Struthio camelus: one gene and its partner. The protein of the gene in region 1 interacts with the protein of each later gene in a pairwise test. Links are inferred from orthologs where the notes say so. Each region holds a gene or a part of one and is shown in the gene's direction. Other genes may lie near its edges.

What was found.
Region 2: the proteins of OTX1 (region 1) and SPRY1 interact in binary tests that used the Homo sapiens proteins (3 or more experiments, as listed by UniProt). The two-hybrid records come from large-scale screens. The link is inferred for Struthio camelus from reciprocal best matches to the Homo sapiens genes OTX1 and SPRY1.

The regions. Positions count from the first base shown.
Region 1 is NC_090944.1:140,532,312-140,536,051, forward strand, and holds the start of OTX1 (homeobox protein OTX1), read left to right. Parts: upstream 1-853; 5' UTR 854-937; intron 938-1,653; 5' UTR 1,654-2,052; coding exon 2,053-2,149; intron 2,150-2,579; coding exon 2,580-2,731; intron 2,732-2,863; coding exon 2,864-3,643; 3' UTR 3,644-3,740. UniProt on the Homo sapiens protein: Probably plays a role in the development of the brain and the sense organs. Can bind to the BCD target sequence (BTS): 5'-TCTAATCCC-3'.
Region 2 is NC_090945.1:18,748,593-18,752,332, reverse strand, and holds the start of SPRY1 (protein sprouty homolog 1), read left to right. Parts: upstream 1-1,448; 5' UTR 1,449-1,643; intron 1,644-2,381; exon of another isoform or gene 2,382-3,099; intron 3,100-3,638; exon of another isoform or gene 3,639-3,740. UniProt on the Homo sapiens protein: Inhibits fibroblast growth factor (FGF)-induced retinal lens fiber differentiation, probably by inhibiting FGF-mediated phosphorylation of ERK1/2. Inhibits TGFB-induced epithelial-to-mesenchymal transition in lens epithelial cells.

The DNA.
Region 1 (3,740 bases):
GAGAGAAGGGGGCGGCCCTGCCTGGAAACTGCCCCGGCGGGACGGGGGGCAAACGGGGAGAGGGGGCTGCCCCCCCCCCCACCGCCCTTCCTCCTCCTCCTCCTCCTCCTTTTTGTGAATGGGCCGCGGCGCCTTTGTTGCGGGGAGAAGTGCCCGTGCCGCTGACTTCTGTGGGCGAGCGGAGGAGCTGGTGAACCTCCCCCCGGCCCCTCTCGCCTCCCTCCCGGCCCGAAAAAAAGAAAAAAAAAGAAAAAAAAGAAAAGAAAAGAAAAAAAAGAAAAGAAAGAAAAGAAAAAAAAGAAAGAAAAGAAAAGAAAAGAAAAGAAAAGAAAAGAAAAGAAAAGAGGGGGGGAACGACCCCCCCCGGGGTTCGCTTGGGGCCGGCGGTCAGCGCCTTTGAACATTAGCTCGCTTTCAGCTCCCGCTTCAATTAGAAGGAGTCGATTTGGAGAGAGCGACCGAAGCGGCGCCCCGGAGCCCGGCGGAAGGTCCGCGGCCCGGCCGAGCCCGCGCAGCGCCCCGCCAGCCGCCAGCCGCCGCGCGCAACTTTCCCAGGTGCAACTTTCCGCATAACTTCCCCCCCCCCAAAAAAAAAAGGGGGGGGGAGGAAAGCGAGGGGCTTCTTCTCACCCCAAAAAGGGGAGGGAGGGCGGAGAAGGGAGGGCGCCAGGGTCCCCGCGGGCCGCAAAGCCCCGGCGGGGAGGGCAGCGCGGGGCAGCGCGGCGCGCGCGGGGAGGGGGGGGGGCGCGGAGGCAGCGCGGCGCGGCGCTGCCGGGCCCGCGGCGGCTGTCAGTCAGGCGCGGAGCGGCCGGGGATTGGCGCCGGGCTCGTTACGCAGGCGGCGGGCGCGCACATACAAGGGTAGGGCCGCGCCGCGGGCCGCAATCCTCGGCCGGGCCGCGGCTCCCTTCGCCCCTCCGCGCCGCCCGACGCCGAGGTAACGCGCTGCGCTGCGCGGCTCCCCGCACCGCTCCCCTCCCCCCCCACCCCTCCTCCCTGCGCGCCCCCCCCCTCCCCTGCGCGCCCCCGCTCCGCCCTGCCCCGCGCGCGCAGCCCCCCGCCGACGGCGCGGGACGGGGCGGCCCCTTCCCAGCGCCGCTTTATATTTTTATCCCGTTTCGTTCTTCTCCTTATTATTATTTTATTATTTCCCTCGCCCCCTTGGCGGCCCGGCGAAGTTACGCAACGGCGCCGCCCGCCTCACCTGCGCCGCCCGCCGCGGAGGCTGCGCGGGGAGCCCGGCCTCCTCCCCGCCCCTTCCTCCCTCCGCGCTTATCTGCCGCTTTCCTTTGGCCCCCCGCGGCCTCGCTGCCTCCGCGCTGCCTCCGCGCTCCCTTTGCCCCCTTTTTCCCCCCCCCCTCCTTAACTCTTCGCCGTTTCTAATTAAAACGTCCCCCGTCTGCTCGCTTTTAAATTAATTATACTTCCCTCCTCCGGTACCTCCTTTGGACTCCTAATCCAATTATCTTTTTAAATAATTGCTTTATCTCTCCCCATCGCCGGGCGCTGCTGCCTCGCGGTGCTTGCGGGCGACTCGCCTTCCTCTAAGCGGAGGGGGGGGAAATAATTTCAGTCCCCCCCCGCCCCCGCTCGGGCCCCTGCGCGGCCCGCGGAGCCGCCGGCCCCTGACGCCGCTCTCCGCTCTCTCCCCAGGCGCGCCGGCCTCGCCGCCGAGAAGACGTCCGCCGCCTCGTTTCCCCGTCCTCGGCGTCGTTTTGACTTTCTTTTTCCTTTTCTTTTTTTCGTTATTATTGTTACTGTTGTTGTTATTTCTTTGCCCGGCGATCGCTTGAGGACCTCGCGTCGGTGGCGGCGGGACGGAACGACAGAAAACTCCTTTGGCACCGGTTTTGCTCGCTCGCTCTTCTATTTTTTTTTAATTATTGTTAGTTTAATTTTTTTTATTTTTGCCTCCGTGTTTGGGGCATTTCTGGGGGTTCTCCTTGTGGTTGGTTTTTTTTTTTCCTTCCCCCTTCTCCCCCAATATTTTTGGTTTGGTTTTGTTTTTATTTTTGCCGCCGTACTCTGGAGGAAACCTGCCCAGCTTTTAGCATGATGTCTTACCTTAAACAGCCCCCTTACGGCATGAACGGGCTGGGGCTGACGGGCCCCGCCATGGACCTGCTGCATCCCTCCGTGGGGTACCCGGGTGAGTCCCCCCCGTGCGGGCGGGTTCGGAGGCGGGGAGGGTGCCGCGGGGGGCTGCCCGGCTGGTGAGCGAGGCGGGAGAGGGGCACTGCTCCCAGTTGAATTCCTCCCCCCCCCACCCCCTTTCCCCATCGCTCATTCGTTCCCGCCGGGATTTTTAAGGAGAAACGGCTTTTTCTAAAAAGAAAAATGGAGATTTAGTTCAATACAACGAAATCTCCCTTTCGCTCCCACCGGGGCCGGACCTGCGCCGTCCCTGTCCCCGTCCCCGTGCTGCTGGCCCGGCTCCCGTCGGCGCCGCTGCCCGCCGTGGGCCGGGGTGGCTGCGGGAGAGGAGTGCGGTTTGGGAGGGGAGATGTTCGCCAGGCCCCCGGCGGCGGCTGGGGCTGGTTCCCGCGGGCCGGTGGCGTGACCCGCTCCCCCCCCCCCAGCCACGCCGCGGAAGCAGCGGCGGGAGCGCACCACCTTCACCCGCTCGCAGCTGGACGTGCTGGAGGCCCTCTTCGCCAAGACCCGCTACCCCGACATCTTCATGCGCGAGGAGGTGGCCCTCAAGATCAACCTGCCCGAGTCCCGCGTGCAGGTACCGGTGGGCGCTGGGCTGGGGTGGGGGGCAGCGCGGTGCTGGCGGCTGGGCGTGGGTGCCTGGGCACGGTGGTGGTGGTGGGGGGGGGGTCCCGGCGCTCACAGCCGCCCCGCCGTCTCCCTGCCCCAGGTCTGGTTCAAGAACCGCCGGGCCAAGTGCCGGCAGCAGCAGCAGAGCGGCGGCGGGGCCAAGAGCCGCCCGGCCAAGAAGAAGTCGTCGCCGGCCCGCGAGAGCTCGGGCTCGGAGAGCAGCGGGCAGTTCACGCCGCCGGCCGCCTCCAGCTCGGCCTCGTCCTCCTCGTCCAGCTCCAACTCGTCGGGCGCCGGGGCGGCCTTGGGCACCCCGGCGGGGGCGGCCGCCGCCGCCTCGCTCAGCACGCCGGCCTCGTCCATCTGGAGCCCGGCCTCCATCTCGCCGGGCTCGGCGCCCTCGGCCGTGACGGTGCCCGAGCCCCTGCCGCCCGGCGGCGCCTCCTGCATGCAGCGCTCGGTGGCCGGCGCCTCCTCGGCCACCTACCCGGTGTCCTACGGCCAAGGCGGGGGCTACGGGCAAGGCTACCCGGCGCCGCCCTCCTCGTCCTACTTCGGCGGCGTGGATTGCGGCTCCTACCTGGCGCCCATGCACTCCCACCACCACCCCCACCAGCTCAGCCCCATGGGGCCCTCCTCCATGTCGGGCCACCACCATCACCACCACCACCCGCTGAGCCAGAGCTCGGGCCACCACCACCACCATCACCACCACCACCACCAGGGCTACGGCGGCGCCGGGCTGCCCTTCAACTCCTCCGACTGCCTGGACTACAAGGAGCCCACTGCCGCCGCCGCCGCCTCCTGGAAACTCAACTTCAACTCCCCCGACTGCCTCGACTACAAGGACCAGGCGTCCTGGCGCTTCCAGGTCTTGTGAGGGGCTGGCCCCACGCCGGCCGCTCCGGCTCGGCCTCCGCTCCTGCCTCCCCTCCCCTCTCCCCCCCCTTTCCGTAACGGTGATGATGATGATGATG
Region 2 (3,740 bases), on another chromosome or scaffold:
AAAAAAAAAAAGAGTAGAGATAACATTTACCCATAAAAATAATGGCTTTGAAAACATCACTATGATTTCTTCAGCATCATTACAGAAATACGCTGACGAAATTGTCATGGAACCTTGCCGATCCCAGTGTGGTAAGGCAGTAAAGGAGAAGTAGCATAATGGGGTAACTTGTAATCATCTCTGTGCTTCAGTACTCATCTATCACGTAATGGGAAGAGCACTTCCTATCCAATGGCAGAATTACGAGGTTAAATGCTTTGTGAAGTCCTCAGCTACTCCTTTCATGGGTTGAAAGAAGCAGAAACATTTTATGAATATAAACAAATAGCTATTACATCTGACTCTACCCTGCCTGAAAGACGATGATAAAACACATACAAATACCTCCCTGTAACATTACCAGAGGAGCATGGTAGGACTTCAGCCTCACCAATGCTCTCTTTTATCAACTGGTACCTAGAAATAAATGCACTCTTTCTACATTTGCCTGTGCACTGTCGTATTCTGTCATCCATGCAGATGGGGCCTGCTGTCCTTAAAAAAGGAGTGTGTGGGTGTGTGTGCACGAGTGCGCTGTGTGCAGGGATCTCTCTGAACTGTTTAAGCGGCATTAGAGGAAAACATCGGAAACTGTAAGATCTTTATAAAAGATGTTGCTGTAGGTTTCACTGTCAAAACCGAAGTGTCTCCCTGCATCCCTTTCCATGGGGTCTGGCATTTACAACTTCTAATCTCGTCCCTGCACAGCATTTTAAGGTTGATTTAAGGTTGATCTCTCTTTCCTGGGCCTGCAGTTTTTCAGCTCGACCTTTAGCGTAGCCCCCGAGTCGCTCCAGAGGACCGGGCCAGTCTCCTTGTCGGCAACCCCGGGCCACGCTCTCGGCGGGACGTGTGCACACGGGCTCCTCTGCGCTCCCCCTGCTGGCCGGGAGCGGCGGGGCGCTGGCGGCGGCGGGGCGGGGGGCGGGCAGGTGGGGCGCCCCGCGGCTGGGGGCAGCTGCAGAGCTGAGCTGGGACAGCGGTCGGGGGGAGGCGGGGGAAGCACCCCATGAGCGGCGACTAGGGAAAAGTTTGTCTTACCAGTGAAAAACTCATTTAAGAGCTACGTCATAAATGTTTCCCGCAGCCGCGCTCCCGGGGTCGGGATGCGAGTCCCATTTTGAGCACGTGCCTTTGAAGGCGGGCGTCGGTGGCTGCGCCCCCGGCCGGGAGCCCCCCCCCCGCCCCCGCCGGCTTGCCCGGGGCTGCGGCGGGCGGCGGGGCCGGGCAGCCGAGCGCAGGGCCCCGGCGGCGGGCGGGCGGCCGCGCTGCACCGCGCCGGCGGAGGCCCGGGCGGCGGGGGCGGGCGCGGGGCGGCCCCGGCGGGAGCGCTGGCGCGGCGGGGCGGGGGAGCGGCTCCCGGGAGGGCGCGGAAGTCCACTCCGGGATTTCGGGGGCGCTGCGCAGTGACACATTGACATCACGGGGGCGCGGCCGGGCGGCGGGCGGGGGCTGCGCGCTGAAAGGCGGCGGAGCGCGGCCGGAGTCACTCCGGAACGGCGGCGGGACGGCGCGGAGCGGCGGCTGCCTACAGTGCCTGGGGAGGAGCTAGCGCCGGGGGCTGCAAATGTGCCTTGGGAAGCGGACTTTCACCTTTGCCGTAGGTAAGCCCGAGCGGTGTTGCGCGCTGCCGCTGCACGCGTGCGGAGCCGCATCAGGTGCCGAGGGGCTGCGCTGGGAGCGAGGGGTTTCCCGGAGCTCGCCTCGCGGTCTGAAGGCTTGGGGGTCGCGCTGGCAGATGCAGACGGGAGCGATGCGAGCTGCAGGGCTGCTCGGCTGCTACCGCTTTATAGGACGCGCGAGCGAAACGCGCGCTGCGTTCGCCTCGCTTCGCGAGCTGGATGTGTGGTGTGGTCTGCGGCGAGCCTGACTGACTAGCTGGCCGTGCATCGTCTGGGCTGAGCGGCGGGCAGAAGAGCGTTCCCCTGCGTTCCCTGGTAAACGATGTTCAGCCAGTCACAATTTGTTGGTAATTATAAAACTTGCAGTTAAGTAATTGTGCCAACGCTTGAGTTGCCCGTCTTGCCTAGTGCAGATCTCACTTGCGTGCTGGAACCTTGTTTGATCCCCTCGAAATACTAAGGGGTCTTTAAAGGCTTTCGTGCAAGAATTGTGTGTCCAGAGTTGCCCTATATTGCACTTTTCTCCCTGACGCGCTGACTGTGCTCCAAGCCTGTCAATCAGCCTCCAACAGCAACAGCAAGCACATGGCAGTCTGCAGCGAGCTCTCAGAGCCATTACACTCTGCCCCTAGCTTCGTTTGCAGCTTGCTACAGTCGCTGAGGTGTGCCTTGAAAACAAGTGTCTCTTCATGATTTCTTCCAAAACATCTTTTGCATTAGGCATTACGGTTGCACTTTGTCGACACTGAGGTCAGAAGGGACTTGCAGCAAGGACCATGCGGTGAAGCAGAGAGCTGGACCCGGGGACGTTGTTGTGCACGCACACATCCAGCGTGGAAGGATCGCGTGTGACTGCTCCAGTCGGGAAATTAAAAAAACCCGAGTCGGCGGAAGAAAAGCGGGAATCCCGCGTTCCTGGCTCTGCAGTGTCTTCTTGGAGACCTTCGCAAGTGCCTCTCGCTAGGTGATCCTGCTCGCCGGTGCCTGCAGCAGCCTGCACCAGACGCTTCCCTCCCTTACGCTAGGCTGAGACAAACCATTTGCAGCAAGGGCTTGATTTTTTTTCGTCACCTCTAGGACGAGCCCGGCGGCCGAAGAAAGTGTTCCCCTCTGAGTCCCGCTAGCACGGAGCGATCCGCCTCTGCGGAGAGCAGCGCCCGCTCGGCGGACCAGCGAGATAGGGAAAGGCGACCGTTGCAGCCTGGCCCCCGGGAGAGGAGGGGAGCGGCGGGGAGAAGCGGAATCTCCCCTGCTCGCCGACTAGGACGCGGCGACCGCCGAGGGCCCCGCGGCCGGGAGGCGGCGGCGGCGGCGGGGTGCTGGCCCCGCCGGAGCGGGGGCGCCCCCGAGCTGAGCCCTCCGCCCGCCCGGTGGATCTGCCCTAATCGCCGTCCAGTGCTACGTGGATTTGCCGTTATTAGTGACTCCTTGGGAATAAGTAAGTTCGGGACTTTTTGTTTCTTTTTGTTTGTTTGTTTGTTTTTTAAATCGGAGCTCACCTAGAGCTAGGTGGGGGCTGTGCAGCCGGCGTGTTTGCACGTGTGCGCCTGGAGTGCCGAGCAGGTGCCTGTGGCGCGCACACGCACACACGCACACACTCACACACACACACACTCACGCGTCGCCCTCCTTGGCGAGGGGGGGAAGCCGAGCCGCACGCGTGCCGTCGCCCCCCCCCCCACACCTTCCTCCGCCTCCCCCTAAAATGCCGCCGCCCGGGATTGCGCGCCCTTCGCGGGGCCGAGGACTTACTGCGCCCGGGGAGCGGGGCCGAGGGCGGCATCAACGCCTCGGGGCGCCCTGGCCGTTACCCCGCGGCGGCGGCCGTTACCCCGGCGGGGGGAGGGGTGGGCGTTCGGGGCGACCGTTACGCGTGCAGGGGCTGGGGCTGGGGCTGGGGGGGGGGCGGCTAATGGACCGCTCGGCTGAAAACGAGCGTCACGTCAAAAAGCGAAGGGGGTGCGGGGGGGGGGGAAGGGGGGGTCGGAGCCCCTCGGCGAAGGGGCCGGCGCTGGCCGAGCCGGCGGCGGGGAATCCCCGGCGCGCTGGCCGCCGGCGCTGCCGCTTTAAATGCCGGGA